Arabidopsis thaliana: one gene and its partner. The protein of the gene in region 1 interacts with the protein of each later gene in a pairwise test. Each region holds a gene or a part of one and is shown in the gene's direction. Other genes may lie near its edges.

Evidence for each region.
Region 2: the proteins of ARPC1A (region 1) and ARPC4 interact in a two-hybrid assay, tested with the Arabidopsis thaliana proteins (one study listed by BioGRID).

What each region holds. Positions count from the first base shown.
Region 1 is NC_003071.7:13,146,618-13,157,532, forward strand, and holds ARPC1A (actin-related protein C1A), read left to right. Parts: upstream 1-6,171; 5' UTR 6,172-6,280; intron 6,281-6,555; exon of another isoform or gene 6,556-6,621; 5' UTR 6,622-6,829; coding exon 6,830-6,899; intron 6,900-7,269; coding exon 7,270-7,358; intron 7,359-7,553; coding exon 7,554-7,630; intron 7,631-7,733; coding exon 7,734-7,828; intron 7,829-7,944; coding exon 7,945-8,014; intron 8,015-8,272; coding exon 8,273-8,342; intron 8,343-8,577; coding exon 8,578-8,651; coding exon of another isoform or gene 8,652-8,670; intron 8,671-8,738; coding exon 8,739-8,781; intron 8,782-8,878; coding exon of another isoform or gene 8,879-8,902; coding exon 8,903-8,984; intron 8,985-9,119; coding exon 9,120-9,208; intron 9,209-9,302; coding exon 9,303-9,388; intron 9,389-9,545; coding exon 9,546-9,609; intron 9,610-9,808; coding exon 9,809-9,909; intron 9,910-10,031; coding exon 10,032-10,090; intron 10,091-10,184; coding exon 10,185-10,252; 3' UTR 10,253-10,415; downstream 10,416-10,915. Other genes in the region: AT2G30890 (Cytochrome b561/ferric reductase transmembrane protein family), read left to right, coding at 1,157-1,285, 1,614-1,781, 2,339-2,487, 2,719-3,046; TBL43 (TRICHOME BIREFRINGENCE-LIKE 43), read left to right, coding at 3,864-4,153, 4,642-4,819, 4,910-5,085, 5,174-5,332, 5,497-5,800; COQ3 (coenzyme Q 3), read right to left, coding at 10,792-10,911. UniProt on the Arabidopsis thaliana protein: Functions as a component of the Arp2/3 complex which is involved in regulation of actin polymerization and together with an activating nucleation-promoting factor (NPF) mediates the formation of branched actin networks.
Region 2 is NC_003075.7:8,150,849-8,160,958, reverse strand, and holds ARPC4 (binding protein), read left to right. Parts: upstream 1-4,168; 5' UTR 4,169-4,242; intron 4,243-4,591; exon of another isoform or gene 4,592-4,632; 5' UTR 4,633-4,712; coding exon 4,713-4,715; intron 4,716-4,887; coding exon 4,888-4,953; intron 4,954-5,286; coding exon 5,287-5,339; intron 5,340-5,448; coding exon 5,449-5,476; intron 5,477-5,574; coding exon 5,575-5,649; intron 5,650-5,865; coding exon 5,866-5,970; intron 5,971-6,367; coding exon 6,368-6,461; intron 6,462-6,790; coding exon 6,791-6,897; 3' UTR 6,898-7,152; downstream 7,153-10,110. Other genes in the region: PAKRP1 (phragmoplast-associated kinesin-related protein 1), read left to right, coding at 1-604, 718-816, 901-1,053, 1,126-1,914, 2,027-2,314; AT4G14145 (cytochrome C oxidase assembly protein), read left to right, coding at 7,868-8,067, 8,173-8,299, 8,383-8,460; DMT2 (DNA methyltransferase 2), read right to left, coding at 8,828-8,977, 9,122-9,340, 9,425-9,586, 9,677-9,955, 10,066-10,110.

The sequences.
Region 1 (10,915 bases):
ACATGTAAGCCAAGACAATATTCAATTTTGGGGTTAACTGAAGTGGGAAAGCTGCAAAACGTGAAGTGGTCCTCTTGCTTTATTCTACGTATGTAGATTCCTTTTGTATGAATTTTCTCATTTGTTTTTCACTTCTATGGCATTCTCATCAACCCAACCATGCATATATTTCCTAAATGAAACGTCTAAGAAGCTATCAAAATCCATATTTTTTTGGCTCCTTTATATTCAATCTCCAAAATAAGAAGAAACTTCTACTATATAATATACTACAGAATTTGGACACCTTTTGACATTTATAAGTTTGACCATTTATCTAAAATTTGGTATGTTCTTATGATTAGTGTTTGAAAATAAGAAAATATATATCCATGTGATGTGGTCATTCATGTATACCTTCCATAGTGAAATCATGATGTTTGTTGACAGTAACATATTGTTAGTGGTCTATGAGCTAGTGCAACCTGCCATGACTCACTTTCCCTTGCAAAATCTGACATTCTTCCACAAAACATAAAAGTCCATTAAAATTCTACTTTTGGATGAATCTGACCTTAAGGAATTTTCAGTTTCAGTTTCTTCTTTTTTTTTTCATAGAAAACCAAAAGTGCTGTAGAGTCGCAGAGATAGTGACATCCACTTGAATATTCTTCTGTTTTTTCTTACATTCATTAATTAAATTCAATACTCAAATTATATATATATAGTCCTTTTTAGATATAAAACATCATTATTAACATCTAATTAAGATTGACAAAAATGAAGTTCGTTATATCAAATCGATTGCCCATTCCTCCACTTGCTTTTCTTCATTTAAATTCAGAGATACTAGTAAAATAAACCATCAACCTCCATGCAAAACCATATTATATAACAAAGTTGCGAGCTTAACTTTTTTTTTTTTTCTTTTTATCACATTTCTTTACACTCTAAAAGCAAATTCTAAAACTTTTCTTTTCTTTTCTCTTCTTCTATCTATAGCTAAGAAACTAGTGGATCAAGTATTCAAGTTCCATATATACCGTCATCCAATTCTTTACAAAGAGCTAGATACACACAAACTTTAACAGTTATACTTATGAAATGAACTCATGAATTGATTATCATCAATTCTAAACTTTGTATTTATTGTTTCAACTTCAAACCACATGAAGTCATGGAGATTCATCATCAACTCTTAGTCTCTCTCCTCTTCCTCCTCCTTCCCCTATGCTCCTCCCAAGAAAACACCAGAAGCTTGGCCATTGATGTCAATGGTCCAGTCGAAACTTCTCCTATCTCCGAGGTTCGTATGCTCTTCTTTCTCTCTCGCTTATCCTAATTAAAATCTAATAATCTCAAACTCTTCATAATCTCATTGATATAGCTGATAAATCTTTACAATGAAGCTCCAGGCATTTCCTTTGTTTCTGATCTTATAACCTATTGAGTTTATTTATCATCGCATGATTATAATGTATGTAAGTCATGTACATATTATTATTCCATGATGCTTAAAGGTTATAGTTTTTTTTTCCTACTCTCTGTATAAAATGCCTGCGTGTTAATAACTTTAATCAAAAACTCTGAATATATATTGGTATGAAGCTCTTATTTTTATTTTTCTTGAACAGAAACTAAATCCAAAGCTTGTGTACGAAATCAAAGTGCATGGCTTTATGCTTTGGGCAGCGATGGGTGTTTTGATGCCAATTGGTATAATCTCCATCAGATTAATGTCTATCAAAGACCAACCTATAATCACTCTTCGACGACTCTTCTTTCTTCATGTCACTTCTCAGGCATGTTTCATTTTTCTTGGCTCTCTTATTTAAATTATATATATCAAATATATATTACAATTCAACAAACTAAATCATAAGTATGTTGAAAGTATTGTATAAGTTGAAAATGAAATTTAATGGTCGGTGCGAGAAGATAGGTGGATGGAGAGTAAAGCAAAGATGCTTCTCTCTTCATCTAAACAATAAAGATTGCATCCAATTAACAACTTTTTCGTGATTTTTAATTAGTACTCCATTAGTAATTAGTAGGGCCTTTTAGGTTATTCTAGATTGTTAATCACATTGATAATCATGGAAACTTGAAGGCCAAGCTAAAGCATCTATCTTCTTCCTCTTTATTTTTAGCTTTAACGACTTTCTGACTTTCTCTTTCTCTCATTCTGATACTTAACTAAGAAACCTCACCTACTAGCTAGTCAATTTTGTTACAAAACAATATTTGATAATTAAACAGCAGCAAGTACTTTTAACTATTGTTATCTATCAACAAGCGGCTCATAGTTTACTTGGAATATTAAGTGAGCAATTAACAATGTGATTAATTTATGAAGCAGATGGTTGCAGTGATACTTGTGACAATAGGGGCAGTAATGTCAGTAATAAACTTCAACAATTCCTTCAGTAATCATCACCAACAGCTTGGAATTGGACTTTACGTCATTGTATGGTTCCAAGCTCTTCTTGGCTTCCTCCGACCTCCAAGGTACTTCTGTTTCTTTTCTCTTCAATAAAATAAGCTGTTACACCGATAATTCTTTGTGACAAAATTAAGCTAGCTTAAGATTAATAACACTCATTATTTTGTTCTTGAATATTTCTAAGAAAAATCTTGAATGCAAATTAGTTAGACTTAATCAAATGTTATGATGACGAGAACTACGAAATGCGTCTAGTACTTTATATTCAATCTTTAATTGATTTACTCGCATTGCAGAGAAGAAAAAGCTAGAAGGAAGTGGTTTGTAGGACATTGGATATTAGGAACATCAATTGCTATTCTTGGGATAATAAACATATACACAGGTTTACACGCTTACGCCAAAAAGACATCAAAAAGTGCTAATCTTTGGACCATACTCTTCACTGCACAACTCTCTTGTATTGCCTTGGTCTATCTTTTTCAAGATAAATGGTCTTATATCCAAAGCCAAGCTACCTTTAACAGAAATCAATCCGTTGATCATAACAGCAACATCTCAACCGCAGAGACTGGCCATGGATACGAGGTCGAAGAGAGTAAACCGGAGTTAGAGAAATGCTAAAAGCGCCAAGCTAAGAAGCTATTAGTAATTTGGTCTTACTTTGAGAGATTGTTTTCTAGGAGACAAAAAGAGTTTCAAAGGTATTTGAATTGATTTGTAGTGGTAATGATTTGACTAACTTTCGAGTTTCTTTCTTCTTTTGTTATTTTCAAGTGTAACATGCTCATAGTCATAGGCAGTGATTAAGTCGTAACCTAAATTTTAGCTACATGTGTATCAAGAATGAGAAGAAATGTCCCAAATTTTCCGAGGAATTGACGAAGGAACACTACCTATTTTCATGCTGTCTCTGACGTATGAGTGTCTTGAGGATTAGGTTTGGCCGTTTGAGCATTCAGCATTCTAATCAAGTTAAAGTAATAGATAAAAAAACAAAAAACAAATCAAACCATATGTTACACATTAACAATAATGATATTTTAAACCAACCGCGTAGAAATTAATTTAGGATAAGATAATATACAAAGATATAAACTTCCATATATTAGTATTGAAAAAACTTCCACACATAATAAGATCTCTAGATCTCTAGACCAAAACTGACTCCAACGTAAAATGGAAACTTATCTCTTTCCTCATTAATAAAGATTCCAACATTCATTTTACCTATTAAGACAGAAAGAAAATATCTCTAATTTAAGAAACAAATCTACATGTATTTTCTTAAACCAGAGCCAATAGACATATATATCACACAAACACATCATATATATGCCGATATATAAAAACCAAAGGCACACAAGAAAATAAAATTAAATCACACAATTCTTCTTCTTCACCAAACCACAAACGTTGACAACTTGTGTGAGTTTTTGCAATGATGAGAGGTGCTGCTCCCACCGGAGTAGTATCGGTCATGGTTTTAATGATACTTGTGTTGTTAAAACAAATAGAGAGTGCTAGTGCGAATGGTTCATCATTAGGGCTACCACCTAGAAAGTTTTGTAATATTTATCAAGGAAGTTGGGTCTATGACAAATCTTACCCTCTCTATGATTCCAAGAATTGCCCTTTCATCGAGAGACAGTTTAACTGCAAGTCCAATGGTCGCCCTGACAGCGAGTACCTCAAGTATCGATGGCAACCTTCCGGTTGCAATCTCCCCAGGTGATTCCATCTTTTCTTTATGGTATTTATAACGTTTTTCGATATGTAGATCTAGTGCGTTTTAACTTTTAAGGCATGTAACTAGTCATAGGTGAATTGCTATGAGTACCACTATACTTCAGGACGACTTGGGCATCAACTAGCATTGTATCGGAAAATTTCATTTTCAAAAACGTCTTTAGTATTTCTTGAGGGGGATTAATAGGTTTTTAATTAGGATTTATTATTGGATTCAAATCCCCTTTTATGTCGCATATAAGTTCATATGTAACTATGTAAGAATGTTATAGAATTTAGTAACCGAAGCAGCTGGTACATAAATCCATAACTATCATTTATTGGAATAAAACTGTTACAAAGACAATAAGTCACAAAATGTTACAAATTAACGGAAGTACCCAACCATTTTGTGGTAAATTATTAAACGTGAATATTTTCTCCTATGAATGATATAGAAGTGTTAAATTGATTAATGATGAATGGTGCAGATTCAACGGCTTAGATTTTCTGGGAAGGATAATGAAAGGGAAGAAACTGATGTTCGTAGGAGATTCACTGAGTCTAAACCAATGGCAATCTCTCACGTGTTTGCTCCACAACGCCGCACCAAAAGCCAATTCCACATCCACACGTTCCCCTTCTGGCCTCTCCGTCTTCTCATTCCCCGTAACGTTTTCTAACTTTATCAAACTCGTTCCGGTATTGATCCGGTTTAATAATTCTGGTTCGGTTCGTATTTAAATGCATGCAATGCAGGCTTACAATTCTTCGATTATGTTTTCAAGAAACGCGTTTCTTGTGGATATAGTCGGAGCCCCACCGAAGCGAGTGATGAAGCTTGACTCAATCTCGAGTGGTTCGTTGTGGAAAACCGCAGACGTTTTGGTCTTCAACTCTTGGCATTGGTGGCTTCACACAGACCGAAAACAACCGTAAAATCATCTTTATGTCGTCAAACATATTTTGCTATGGACTATGGACTTATTAGTATCTAACTAATGTAATCATTTGGGGTTGCAGATGGGACGCAATTATGTCCGGGAATGTAACGGTTAAAGACATGGACCGGTTAGTGGCATATGAGAAAGCAATGATGACTTGGGCTAAGTGGATTGATCAAAATATTGATCCTTCCAAAACCAAAGTCTTCTTCCAAGGTATTTCTCCGGACCATGGCCGGTAAGTTCTACCTCTATATAACTTCTTTTTTATTCGATACATACATTAAATCAACGATAAAAACTTAACACGATTGATATATGTTGGATTAGTCTATAAGTTTTCGTTAGAACCAAATAATTTCATGTTGATATTGTTAACAATAATGGTACATAATGTTACAGGGCAAGGGAATGGTCGAAACAAGGTGGCAAAGGCAGTTGCATAGGAGAAACAAAGCCGATTATGGGATCGAGTTACCTGGCTGGGCCGCACGCAGCCGAGATGGTGGTGGCGAAAGTGATAAAGACGATGAAGAATCAGGCGCGGTTAATGGATGTGACATTGATGTCTCAGCTAAGGAAAGATGGACATCCTTCAGTATACGGTTTTGGCGGTCACAGAATGGCGGATTGTAGCCATTGGTGTCTCTCTGGAGTCCCGGATAGCTGGAACCAGCTCTTGTATTCTGAGCTGTTTCATTCTTAAAATTTTGATGGTTTTGACACAAAACTAAATTCATTATATGATTTATACATTTATTTATGACCTAACCATGTTTGTGTTGTTTTACACATTTATTTTATGTCATAAACATGTTTATTTAGAATTTCAAATTCATTTGTCAACCAAAATGTTTAAATGAGAACAAGATTCTTTGACTGGTCGAACAATTTATAAGAGAAGAATTTGCAAGAATATAACCTTATGATCTCGTTATAATTGAATGGACTAAATATGTGTCCTGAATCTCTAAGTGAGAGATTAGAGGAAGACCAAAACTAGAAGTAAACCTTATTCCACGAGAGGGGATAACTAGCGTAGCTTATATAATAACTTTGTACAATGATTTGGGGTTAAGTTATTTTTGGATTATGCTAAATCAAAATCTAATATAGTGGTGCAAGCCCCTTGACTTGGGTCAATGATTCAAAAGCTTATACAAAAAAAAAAACGAAAAAACTAATAGTAAAACATTACTTTAGAAAAAAGTTACTAATCAATATTTTTTTAAAAATTTCAGATTACTTTATAAGTTACTCTATACTCATAGACTCATAGTGAGATATAGTTCTATTTTTACATGGATGAATTGGATCGAATCCATTTATCTACATTAATGTATTTAACTAATGCAGAACTTAAGCCTTTTATCGGAAAAAACAAAAACAAAACTAATGCAGATTACAGAACTATAGATTTAAAAATAAAAATAATTCGATTTTTTCCTTATTATTATGCTGGTTTGCCCAAAAATAAAGGTCCAAGTAAAACTGAAATTGATCTGGTCATAAAAATTGGGGCTTTAGTAAAAAAAAAAAAAAAAAAAAAAACATCTGTCTCTTTCACTTCACGTTTGCGACTGTGTCGTCGTCCACCTCCGGATCTCATCGGCGTTTCATCATAATTATCTGTCCATCTATTCACCGTACGACTCCGTTTTAGGAATCTGTGGATGTCAATTTGAGAGAAAAGACTGTCTTCATTACAACACATTTGGGACAACAAGGATCACTCATGGCAGTGGTGGATGTTCATCGTTTCGCTGAGTCAATCACTTGCCATGCTTGGAGTCCTGATCTCTCCAGTATGTTTCTAACACCTCTCTGATTTTGTGATTCTCTTCTTTCTCTCTTCCGTCGTTTTTTCCGTTTTAGAATTATAAATGAGGAGGATCTATCTATAGTTAGTTTGGCTGGGAAGATAGATAGATGATACAACTAAATTGACTTGTGTTATTCTTATACATCTTGGTAATCAAATTTCTTCGAGTCAATGTTTTATATGTCTGTTTGTCGGTGTCTCTTGTTAGGAACACTTGGTATCTAGTATTGTACATTAGTAGATGCGCTTTTCTAAACAGATGAACCAAATCTATTGTTACAAATGATTTAACGTCTGTACTAAAGCCTGTAACCATTTATGTGCTTTGACATTTGTTTCGTTTTTCTTGGTAGTGGTTGCTCTCTGTCCTAACAACACTGAAGTTCATATCTATAAATCATTGTCTCAAGACCACTGGGAGAGGTTACATGTCCTCCAAAAGGTGAAACCTTTCTCTCTCCCTCTCTTTCTGTAACTTTTGAACTTGCATTCCTTTTGCTTTCTCTTCTTGGGAATTCCTTACTTTCGTATATTTATGTATTCTCATTTCACTGATCACTTGTCGCTGATAAGTGTTGTATAGACAGCTTGAATCTCCCTTACAACAACTTCATGATTATTGTTCGTCTTGTTGCAGCATGACCAAATTGTTTCTGGAATAGATTGGAGCTCAAAGTCCAACAAAATCGTCACTGTTTCTCATGACAGGAACTCGTAAGTTGCTACCTTTGATATACTTTGAGAAACTCCAAACCTGTTAATCTTAGTCCTTCACTTTTTTTCGTTCGTTGAACTGAGTTTAGAATGCTTCTTGAAGGTACGTCTGGAGCCTGGAAGGAGCTGAATGGGTACCAACTCTCGTTATTCTTAGACTAAATCGTGCTGCACTTTGTGTCCAATGGAGCCCCAAAGGTAAATGTTTAATTTTTCTGGTTCTTAAGCTTAATTTCCGTAATATGTAGTGTAATTTTCCTATAATTTCTACAGCTTCTAATCTATGTTCTCATCTTTTTGCTCAATACCCATAGAGAACAAGTTTGCTGTTGGAAGTGGTGCTAAAACTGTTTGTATTTGCTATTATGAGCAAGAGAATAACTGGTATTTTCTTCTTCTGCTCCTAATTCTCATTATTAGTCCTTGATTTTTTCTTTGGCAAGTTTCCTGACTTCTTTGCTACGAATGGTGTTGTTGGTCTATGTAATGATATTATTTTGTCTTATGTACTGGCATGATATTAGCACCAATCATATTTTTTATTATCTTGGCATGCATAACTGTGTATTGTTTAGAGATTTTAGAAAGATACTTTCATGTAAACTTTTAGTATCTGACATTGCTTGGCTTTACTGTTTTCAGGTGGGTCAGTAAGCTAATCCGGAAAAGGCACGAATCTTCAGTCACATCTGTTGCTTGGCATCCTAATAATGTACGTGCAATCAACAGAACCTCTTGTAGTTCATGTAGTTAAAATAATAAGCAGGCTCTCTGTAAAAGCATTCTCTACCAAAAATATTCTATAAGTTGGCCACCAGATTGAGTATAGAGTACATGATCCCTAAAAATAGAATATCAATCTCCACAAACTAGTTAATCTTCTAAATCATTTTTTCTCGTATGCTTTTTTATGTTGCTGTGCTCTCTGATTGTCTGTTATGCATTAGGTTCTTCTGGCAACGACATCAACAGATGGAAAATGTCGGGTATTTTCAACATTTATCAAAGGAGTTGACACAAAGTATGCTCATTACTTGAACGTCTACTTTTAAAACATTTTTTCAAACATGAGGCCGTTTCTTATTTGTCTTTCAATGGGCTGATACAGGGATTCAAAAGCAGGCTCACCAGCGGAAACGAAATTTGGGGAGGTTTGACTCGTTTGGCTGGCTTTCCTTCTTTTAGTAAATAGTATACCACTTCTGCCATATATATGTTCCCTCTACTCACTCTCTTATCTAATGTTAGGGAGCTTTTTTTCTGTTGAAACAGCAAATTCTTCAGCTTGATCTCTCATATTCTTGGGCATTTGGTGTTAAATGGTCTCCAAGTGGAAACACCTTAGCTTATGTAGGTCAGAATATCCTTAAAACTTAAGATGTTTGTCCATTGAGCTCTACTGGAATTATAAAAATGGAACTTCACCTTGGTTGCATAATTTTTACTACACTCCGTCTCACTTCCCTTGTTCATGCAATCTTGTTTATAGGTCATAGCTCCATGATTTACTTTGTTGATGATGTTGGTCCTTCTCCTTTAGCCCAAAGCGTTGCATTTCGAGATTTGCCTCTTCGTGATGTGGGTCAGCATCCACTCTTTTTTTTCTTTTGAGAAAGTGTTCTCATGTGTTATATCCTGAATTGATATATTATCGGGAACTTGCTATCTTCAGGTCCTGTTTATTTCTGAGAAAATGGTGATAGGCGTGGGATATGACAGCAACCCGATGGTATTTGCCTCAGATGATACTGGAATATGGTGTGTAACTCTTAGTTTTCTCTTTCTTAGCTATTTCCAGACAATCAAATACTTCAATTCATTAATTCTCCTTAGCTCTCAGGCCGGATAGTTATTTCTGAAATCATCCACACACCGATGATTGCCTTGTTTACAAGTTTTTGTTTATGGTCTGCAGGAGCTTTATCAGATACATCGGAGAGAAGAAAGCAGCATCTTCAAATTCCAGTTACAGTTCGCAGGTACATACCATGTTTTCTTTCTTGAATAAAATATGAGTGAACTTAGCTTATTCCTGAAGTGTTCCTCTAAGATAGTAGTAATCTTTCGGGTTAGTGTAGTTGCTCCTTTTTTCTCCTTGGGTTTACTACTTTGAACTTTCCACTTGCATTATTTGTACTGTTTTGTCTAATCCTTTTTTTCATTATGTTATCTTTTCAGTTTTCTGAAGCATTTGGAAAATTCTACGGCAGTCAATCAAAGTCCACAACAGCCAACGATGCTTCTGAATCACGTGGAGGTGTTCATGATAACTGCATAAAGTAATTATTTCTTAAGCTAACTTTTCTTTTACCAAATCATTTGCCAGAAACCTGCCTCATTAACTCTTTTACTTCGATTGTCTATTAAGAACCTGACATGGAAGGTTACCTGAAAATTGCAGTTCCATTGTGTCTCTGAGCAAAGCAGGGAGTCCTAAAGTAATGCGATTCAGCACTTCAGGTCAGTCACTAATACAAAATGGAATTAGCCGATTCAGTTCTCAAAAAACAAACCAGCAGTTTCATTTACTCGCATAACGGTTTGTTATTTATAGGATTGGATGGCAAAGTTGCCATATGGGATCTGGAGAACATGGAACAAGAACTTGGCAATCAGTTTTAATAAACACACAAATAAAACAATTCTGGCTCACAAGCAAGGTTTTACTTAAGTTTAAACTACTTTTTCAATTTCGTAATTGTTTCACTTTGTAAACTGCCACAATAAAAGGCCTTATTTTCTTGGTTTGTGTAAGGGCAGGTATTAATAAGTTTCTTGGCTTCATGATTTGATTCATTTAGTTAGCATCTTGTAATACCTTTTATATATAGTAATATCAGCTTTGTGTCGAAAGGAGTCCATATTGAACCAAACACAACAATTTCGCAAAATTTTCAAGTTCTTGAGAAGAAGCAAAAAGCTTTGGTCCTCCGAACTATGCCATATTTACCACAAAACGAGATATCGACAAACATTAATCTTCTATCAGATGACAGAAGTGTGATTCAGAAGACCAAATATTCTTTGAATGTTTCTCACTTATTGCAAAACAACTACTGTCCTCGTCCTAAGCAACTTCCAGAGTACCTAGTTTTTAAAGCATGAACTAGAGTTGTAACTCAGAAGCAGATATGCAGAGAAACACGACTTGGAACGATTGATTATATGTCTCCAAGATCCTTCCTTTTCGTCCCATAAGCAATATAGTTGACACTAATATCATCTGACAATAACCATCTTCCTGTTATTGGGTTGTACACAAATCCAGCTATCTCTTTCACCTGC
Region 2 (10,110 bases), on another chromosome or scaffold:
AGAGCACTTAGTAAATTCTGCATCTCCCAGTCTTTGTATAGATCCAGTTGGTGCGACTCCTGTATTAAAATCTCCCACACTGAGCGTCTCTCCTACGATTAGAAATAGCAGGAAAAGCTTGAAGACATCAGAATTGTCAACAGCATCTCAGAAGGATAGTGAAGGAGAAAATTTAGTTACAGAAGCTGCGGACCCATCTCCGGCTACATCCAAAAAGATGAATAACTGTTCTAGTGCTTTGTCTACGCAGAAGAGCAAAGTTTTTCCTGTACGGACTGAGCGGTTGGCATCTAGCCTCCACAAAGGAATTAAACTTCTTGAGTCGTATTGCCAGAGTACAGCTCAAAGACGATCGACGTACAGGTTTTCCTTCAAAGCTCCAGATAGTGAGCCTTCGACCTCTATAAGTAAGGCTGATGCAGGTGTGCAGACCATTCCCGGAGCTGATGCAATATCAGAGGAGAATACAAAAGAGTTTCTGTGCTGTAAATGCAAATGCAGAGAACAATTTGATGCCCAGCAAATGGGTGACATGCCAAATCTTCAGTTAGTACCTGTTGACAACTCGGAAGTGGCAGAAAAATCCAAGAATCAAGTTCCCAAAGTAAGAACTGTGACTTTTTTCTAACATAGATTTAGATAGTTATTCACAGTCTTATTTTGTTTCCACATTTCTATAATTGGTTCCTCCAACTGATCGAGTTTTACACTTTACAGGCAGTAGAAAAGGTTCTAGCAGGTTCTATCAGGAGGGAAATGGCTCTGGAAGAGTTCTGCACTAAACAAGCCTCTGAGATAACCCAACTTAACCGACTGGTATGATACTTGCGTCTTTTTCTGTTTTTAATCTCCCTTAGTAACTGTATCCTCAAACATAAATTGGTCCAAACCGTGTAATAGGTACAACAATACAAACATGAGAGAGAGTGCAATGCCATCATAGGACAAACAAGGGAGGACAAAATTATTCGCCTTGAAAGCCTTATGGATGGCGTATTATCTAAGGAGGATTTCCTTGATGAAGAATTTGCTTCTCTTCTCCATGAACATAAGGTAATTGTGGCTTCTCGTTTTGTAAAAGGGTATTTGATTGCATTACCCTTTTACTGACATGTAATGTTGCAGCTTCTAAAGGACATGTATCAGAATCACCCTGAAGTGCTTAAGACGAAGATTGAGTTGGAAAGAACGCAAGAAGAGGTCGAGAATTTCAAGAACTTTTATGGTGACATGGGAGAACGGGAAGTGTTATTGGAAGAGATTCAGGATTTGAAGTTGCAGCTGCAATGTTACATTGACCCTTCTCTTAAATCAGCTCTGAAAACGTGTACCCTGCTTAAGCTTTCATACCAAGCTCCCCCAGTTAACGCTATTCCTGAGTCACAGGACGAGAGTCTTGAGAAGACATTAGAACAGGAAAGACTTTGTTGGACAGAGGCAGAGACCAAATGGATTTCTCTCTCCGAGGAATTAAGAACTGAGCTTGAAGCCAGTAAGGCGCTGATTAATAAGCAGAAACATGAACTTGAAATTGAGAAAAGATGCGGGGAGGAGTTGAAAGAAGCAATGCAGATGGCCATGGAAGGGCATGCACGGATGCTTGAACAATATGCAGACCTGGAAGAGAAGCATATGCAATTGCTTGCAAGACATAGAAGGATTCAAGACGGAATAGATGATGTCAAAAAGGCAGCTGCAAGAGCTGGAGTCAGAGGAGCAGAGTCCAGATTCATAAATGCACTTGCAGCAGAAATTTCAGCCTTAAAGGTAGAAAAAGAGAAGGAGAGACAATACCTGAGGGATGAGAACAAAAGTCTCCAAACACAACTAAGAGATACAGCTGAAGCCATACAAGCAGCTGGAGAGTTACTTGTTCGGCTTAAAGAAGCCGAAGAGGGATTAACAGTTGCACAGGTACGTTATTACATTTTCTAAACATGTCAGGTCACATCCTTGAATAAGTCTGTTGCTTTTATTATTATGCATGCATGTTCTTACATAAAATCTATGTGGCTTGTGTCAACAGAAACGTGCGATGGATGCAGAGTATGAAGCTGCAGAAGCATATAGACAGATTGACAAGCTGAAGAAGAAACATGAAAACGAAATCAACACACTTAACCAACTCGTCCCACAATCTCATATTCACAATGAATGCTCTACCAAATGTGATCAAGCCGTGGAACCATCAGTAAATGCAAGTAGTGAGCAGCAATGGAGAGATGAGTTTGAGCCGCTTTACAAAAAAGAAACTGAGTTTTCAAATCTTGCTGAGCCTTCTTGGTTTTCGGGTTATGATAGGTGCAACATATAATTCTAATATCTATTTTGTGTGTTTAATGTGTATAAAATGGGTGTCTGATTCTGTGATATAAGTCCAATTTCACTCATAACTTGCAACTCATTATGTACAAATGACGCAAACCTCCTGGATTCGTAGAAGATTAAACCAACCTTCATGCAGATCTCTTAGCTTAGACTGCAATCCTAATTCCCAAACAATTCTACTTTTCATTTTCATGAGCGTGCTCCTTCCTTTATCTCGCACTCTCTATATTCTAGTAACAATATTCATATTTTTGGGTATTACACTAAATAGCAAATTACACTAACGGAACTACGTCTATCAACGTCTTCAACGCCAACTCCACGATCGTGACCTGTCCGGACAAATATGTTCTAAGATTGTCGAAGCCCAACTGCAAAGAAGTCAAAGTTTTTACTTGCCACAACAACGTCAACAACCTTTATTCATGATAGTCTCTGTCAGATTGACACACAAGTTATACAGTGTTGTGCCTTGTATTTCTTCTCCGTCGGCGACAGATTTGGACCAAGAAGAAGAAGAATCGGAGACTTGTGCAATCTGTTTGGAGAATATGTCGAGATCTGAGAATTGTTGCCAGATGCCTTATTGTAAGCATTGCTATCATGAAGGATGTGTCACTAAGTGGGTGATTACACTAAATAGCAAATTACCATTGTACCTAAAAACAACTCTTCCATATCTCAAAAGGGTATAGTCTATGTGTGTTAATTACCATTTTTTACAATCAATTCGTCCTGTTCCATCATCAAAGAGTAAATCTAACTTTTGTGACTTTTGAAACATCTTTGTCACACACTAGACCAACAAGTGAGACCTGAATATACCAAAAACATCACACAAAGACTTCTATAAGATCCATATATAATTTTTTTTGAATCTACCTCTTCTCTACTAATACAAATCTGTCCACAAGTTCTTCATCTACCATTCTTTTCACAGACGCAGACTTTTTCTTATGAATAAAACAAAAGATACAAGAAGAAACGATGTGAAGTAAAACATTACTTCCAGAGACTATTAATAACTCCGTACCGTTCTTCGTTCACCATTTGTTTGGCTCAATTTTCACAAGTTCCGAACCTATGCAATATACAACCAAATGGGAATGTCATACTCATATAGTAGATATTAGACATCTTAAAACAAGACATATGTTGTTGCTTTTTGTTTCGTTTTGCATACAGTTGTTGCTCTGTTGCTGACTATCTCTCGAAACCCATCTGAATAATACTCTGAAGATCGTTTTCCCAGAAGGGCGGCACCTAAAATAACACAACGCACAGCTAAGTAAACTTTCAGAGGAACCAAAACAGTGGAAAAATTTACATAGCAACCCAAAGTATCTTCAACATTAAGTACCTCATCTTGAACAAATTCATCACTTGAATGTAGTTAAGGACTCAACGAGTTCAATTGGAATTGAGTTTGAGTCTCTTATAATCTTGGAATGCTCTTGCCAAGAGAAAAGTACTCTGAAGGAAGTCTTGCCTCTGAGCAAGAAATCGACTGCGTTAACTCTCCCAGCTGCAACATCTACGCATGCAAATATGATATATACTACTCATCGGATACAGAACATTCTACAAGAAGCAGAGCCAGTCTTTGCTATAAATGAATACAGTAACATAAACAGATGTGTTAAAGCGCAAGTACCGCTTGTAGTTGTAGATTAGAACTTAGAAGTAGAGCAACCCGGTTCACCGGTTCAATCCGCAGAATCTTGCTGGTATTTGTGGGTCAATGAACATTCCATTTTAGAATGTACCAGATCCGGTCGGAGTGTCTGGTTTGGTTCGGTTTTGACGCATTTCGTTTCACTTATCCGGTCAATTTGATCGTGATTCAATTTTCCGATCGTTGATCTCTAAATCTCCTTACGATCTCTCCTCTCACGAGTCTCCAAGTCGTCCAAGGTATGCAATTTGTTCACGACCAAGGTTTTAGGGCTTTTGATTTGTCTGATTGATTCCTAGGGATCTAATTTGATTTCCCTTTCTCACATTTTCCAAAAGTTTCAGACTTTCAGTAGATTGGCTTATTTCTCTAAGTGGGTCTCTCAATAATCATGATCTTGTTGTTGCTTCGAGTTGATTACATAGAAACTCTAGTCTCCGGGATCTTGCTGTTACTTGATTGTTATTTTGTTCTCTTCTTATCTTAAACATTTGAGAGTGTTTTGTTTTCTTGTAGACATTTTGATCCTAAAGTTGCTTTCTTATTGACGTTTAGTATAAAAAAGTTGGTAACCTAAATTCTATGAAACTAAAGATGCTTTCTTGTTTATGTTTGGATTATTTTTTCAGCTCATAAAGATTCATCGAGAAGAAAGATAAAATCCTAAGTCTGGTGCAAGTCTCGAGTAGAATAACATCATTTCTAGGACATGGTAAGAACCTTGACTGTAATTCTAATTTTGATTCTTCTCATACTTGACAAAGACTCTTTTTCATTCAAACATGTCCTGTTTAGAAACAATTCTTTTAAACAATGTCTATCGCATACTGATTTACTGCAGAAATTGTTTAAAATTTGCTTCCGATGGGTCTTTGATGTTCCAGGCAAACTCATTACGGCTGTATCTAGCATGCATAAAAAATACACTCGAGGCTGCCATGTGCTTACAGGTACAAATTATTTTTGGTTCATGATATCATGGCATAGGTCTCAAAGTTTCCATCTTTATGGTTAAGTTTGTTTAAGGCAGTTAAAGCTTCATGTTGGCGTTCTATCTCATTCATCCACCTTTGGTCTGTTATTCTCTTGTATTAGTTGTTTACTTTTTGATTAGACATGTTGTACCATCATTCACTTACTTTTTGACGTTTTTCTCGCAATATTTGGTGTCAGAACCTACCGATTTCGTTAAAGTAGGTGAAAGGGGCCATGTGGAGTCTTTGAAAACATTCAGCTTTACATGGTTTATATTCCTGAAAGCTTCTATACTTCTCTACTTGCAGAATTTTCCTTGTCAAGAAGTTGAAAGGCATAATAAACCAGAGGTTGAATTAAAGTATGTAAGCTTCTCACAAGAAGATGCATGTGAGAATGGGGTGCTCTTCTTCCATTTTTATTTCAAGCATAGAATCTTATTATCACCATGTGTTTGCTAAATTTTGTAGGACGAGCCCAGAACTTTTGCTAAATCCTGTAAGAAGTTTACTTGTTTCCCTCCCAGTTTAGCGTTGATATTGCATTGTCTTCTTACCTAGGTTTTGTAGTTGACTGCTAAGTTTTGCAACTTGCAGGTTTTAATATGCCGAAATGAGGCTGAAAAGTGTTTAATAGAAACATCTATAAATTCACTCCGGATAAGCCTCAAGGTAAATGTTCATCTTACCCTAGCTTTTCCTTCAAATACTTCCAGGAAGAGCCCCAGTGGTACACTGTTCAACAAAGGCTTTGTGTTGTTTTACTTTCCTGTTTCTCACCGTTTCCTTTGTTTCTTTCTCCTGAGATAACGTCTTGACGAGTCGTGACTTAGTCTAGACATCTGTCTTGTTCTGCTGTTACAAATATTTGTTATCTTTAATTTGCAGGTCAAGCAAGCGGATGAACTTGAAAACATACTAACCAAAAAATTTCTCAGATTCTTGTCCATGAGGGCAGAAGCTTTTCAAGTACTGAGGAGGAAGCCAGTGCAGGTAGACCTTCTTATTGATTCAACACTTAGGTACTTGTGAGTGCTACTAGGTTTTATCTAGAAGTTGCAATGCATTCCCTCTTTTGTCGAACTTCTATTTTTTTTTAATGGTAAATGCATCACGAATTGATTAAACATAACGCAGACAGTATTCACAAATTCTCCTTAATTTTAGCTTTCTGTGCAGGCATTTTTTAGGTTTAGGATGATAGATAGTCTGTATGTACCACACCTTTCCTTTCTTTTTCCCTTCTATGAATCATGAATCATGAATCATCTCACTGTGCGGAAATGCATTGCCTTGGCTTTAGATGGTTTACTGTTTATTCCCCTGCATTGTGTGAACGATCCATTCCCTTATTCCCTTCAATTGGTTTCTTTGTTGGTGTTTTGAACAGGGCTATGACATAAGCTTTCTTATAACAAACTACCACTGCGAAGAGATGCAGAAACAGAAGCTAATTGATTTCATTATTCAGTTTATGGAGGCAAGTCTCTCTCGAAACCTAATCTTTTTATTCTATGACCTTGGTTGCTCCCATTAGTAGCATCCTAACAATCAATATATGTCTTGGTTGCATCAAACCTAATGTTAGTGATGCATCCTTACGTCGTTGTGTTTCTCACGGAAATAACTTGAGAAGTAGTATTCTGAATAGTTGCCTTAACAAAGGTCATTATATCCGTCTTTGAATTTGAATTGTTTCTACAAGAGTCAACAGAGATTAGTTACTCTGATTATGTCCTCCAACATGCTAATCTCCGCTTAAAATAGATTTGAAACTTGAAGTGTGACTATTTTTTAACCATGGAAATTGCAGGATATAGAGAAAGAAATAAGGGACTTGAAGGAGTCAGTGAATACAAGAGGAAGACTCGTTGCTACGGAGTTCTTGAAACAGTTCATGTAAAGCAGCTCTTGAAGTAGTATAATGTAACCCTTCATTGTATCAATCACTCGTTATTTGGTTAAAATCCATCTACTCTTCATTTTGCTACTTTCTCTGTTATTCTAACACAACCAAAGTACCGAGCCATCGGCTTGGTAATTGTAGTGTATGTAATGCGATACTTATCAAATGTGGTCTGTTGATCGTAGATGTTCGAACGTACAATCCCAGAAACCAAAAAGTTGTTTTATCTTATTCTTACCACCAAAGACCAACAAATTGTTCATCTCTGACAGAACAAAGATCCACAACAAAGGAAAAAACGTCGTCGTTTCTTTTACACCGTAACCCAAAATATGAGTTACTGGGCTGGGCCCATTATTGAAACTAATAATAGGGGAATTTATTAATTTGTTTGATTATTTCCTAAAAGAACGAACGACGCCGTATACACCGAGAAGCTCAACGTTCGTCATCACTCTTCTCGCTTCTCGGCGTCTCCATCGCCGTCTCTATCTAATCTCGTCCTGCGTCGACCTAGTGAGCTACTTCAGATTCCGGCCATCACGCAGCTCCAGGTTAGTTTTTATTTATGTCAAACAACGAATCGGTGTGTTGTGCCTAGAATGGAACTGATTTCTGGGTTTAGATTGAGAATTTCTACGGTTTAGGAAACGTTATTTAGGTCATACGAATCTGTTGTTTGTAGAAGATACGACGAAACAAATCCAGTCACGTGAAACAGAGCTAGTATTGATCTTTAACTCTGCTCTATTATCAAATTGATTGAGTCGATCTGAAATTCACAGATTACCATATTTGCACACTATGTTTTGTGACTAATTTCAGAAGAAAATGTTATTAGAGAGTAGAAAATGGATTCCTCAATGCTTATTGTAGTAGCTACTCTTGTGTTTGTTTTCAGGATTAAGAAAAATGATAACAATGTAGTAGGTTCTCACTCTTGCTTTTTCCTTGCAGTTGTATGCTTTGAGAGTTAATACAAAGATGACAACAATCGAAACCGGTCAGAAAACTCAAAAGTCTTCTCCTTCCGGTTCTGGTACTACCCCTACTGGTACTCTTAAGCAGTCATCAGCATCGTTTAAAAGGTGGGGAAGGAGACACCCGTTTGTAAGATATGGACTTCCGATGATATCTCTCACTGTATTTGGAGCCCTCGGACTCGGCCAACTCCTTCAAGGCAGGTCAGTTCTTTCTTGATTGGAAAACCTCTGAATCTATAAATGTCTGGGGAAATGTCAATGATTCTGTTTAGAATTCACCACATATGGTTTATTTGGTTAGTTCAGTAAGGATATTGCAAAGGTAAAAGATGACCAAGAATGGGAGATTATAGAAACAAGAAAGGCACTTTCGAGAACAGGACCTGTCGATGCCTATAAACCTAAAAACACATCCATTGAAGATGAGCTCAAGGTAACAAAGGATATACGCTCAATTAGACTGCATAAAAGCTTTGATGAAACACTAAAATCTTGACTGGGTTTTGTTTAACGCAGGCTATGCAAGAGAAGGTGGACATAAACACGTACGAGTACAAGAAAATTCCAAAGCTAAACGAAAGCAAGTCGAGTTAAGAAGAGTCTTTGTATAAGATTAGTCTTTTTAGATGTGTTTCAGTTTTAAATGACTCTTCAGTTCACATAATCGCCCAAGTACAAATTCCAGTAAGTTCTGTCTGGGCTTCCTAAAACCAAGAACAACGAGGGACTTGCCAATTGTTGATAATACATGTTGTCGTGTTGATTTACGACGTCCAAATAGATCTGAAAGAGGTTTTATAACCAGTTAGACTTTACATCTTTATACCAATTTCTACACAACTTTATTTTCTAGTAAAATTTCTCATACTTCATAGACATCATTTCTTGCTTCATAGACTTTGAGTTTTAAGAAAAAGATTATACTAAAAAAAATGAAATGATGGAGGGACTGCATTTCCAATTATGATTGGTGTTGAAGAGAACTCTTGAGATATAGGGCTTCTTTGAGCTTCCGACCGAGAGCGAAGGCCAATGGTGGAGGGACTGCATTTCCAATTTGCCTATGTTTGTGTTTTGTCGTCCCTGAAAACTCGTAGCTATCCGGAAACCCCTACATTTTCATAAAACAACACTTTCACTTAAAACTGTTGTATCCATAACCTAACATTACTTAATGTCCAAAACAAAAAGAAATATGTACTCTATTAGTAATGCTAGAGGGCTGACGAAGAAGGAACATAAGAACTTTTTTTACCTGAGATCGGGCGCATTCACGGACAGTGATTATTCTGTCCTGTTCAGGATGGAAGCACATTCCCACCTTACCCATGGGCTGAGGATCGGTGATGGAAATGGGTAAGTTTCCTTGCCAGTCCAATCTACCATAGAGTCCCTTCCATTCGTTGTGGTTTTTAGCTGTCTTTGATAGAGCTAAAGGACGCAATTTTTCCACGAGTCCATTTGATAATGTCACCTGTAATATTAAAAACATTGCATGAAGTTGACGTATAGATTTAGTAAGAATTGTTGTAGTGGAATGTATAAATGTAAGACTGACATTTTCGTCCGGCAGGTCACGCCAATCAGCACCAGGCCTCTTTGGGATTTTCTTACATCGAATGAGGTTTAGTTCGTTCAGCCCTTTGCAGATATGATCAGTGAGAACACTCATGTTTCCTCTTATCTTCTTTTGGAACCACGAGGCTGGAGTAGTTCCATACTTCATACAAGACACAAGAAACATGAGTTCATGTTATTTTATTTAATGTAAATGTATAGATACTTTCTTCTAGTAATTATTAAACCATACCTCTTTGTTTATCTTGGATTCTCCGTTTTCTACTGGTGGAAGATCGCCGATTGTGTCTCTCACCGTGATTGAACGAAAAGGTGCACCAAATTTAGTATTACAACCAGCATCATAGCGTAAACCTCGAGGTAATGAGATTTTACTACCGGGATTATCAAAGACATGCATCGGCTCAGGCCATTCTGGAAGAACTTCTTCTGGTGAAGCTGCCCAAATTATAACTCTTTTACGAGGTTGGGAAACTCCATATGTACCTGCCTCCAAGATTCCAAATCTTACCTGCATAGTTCAACGAATCTTGTATTCTTAAAAACCATTGCTGATATATTGCATATGCTAAAATCTACTAAAGAGCATTAATCAAGTGTGACACAAAAAGGAAATATTACCTGGTAACCCATCTCAAGAAGAGAAGCCATAGTAAGTTGAAATGT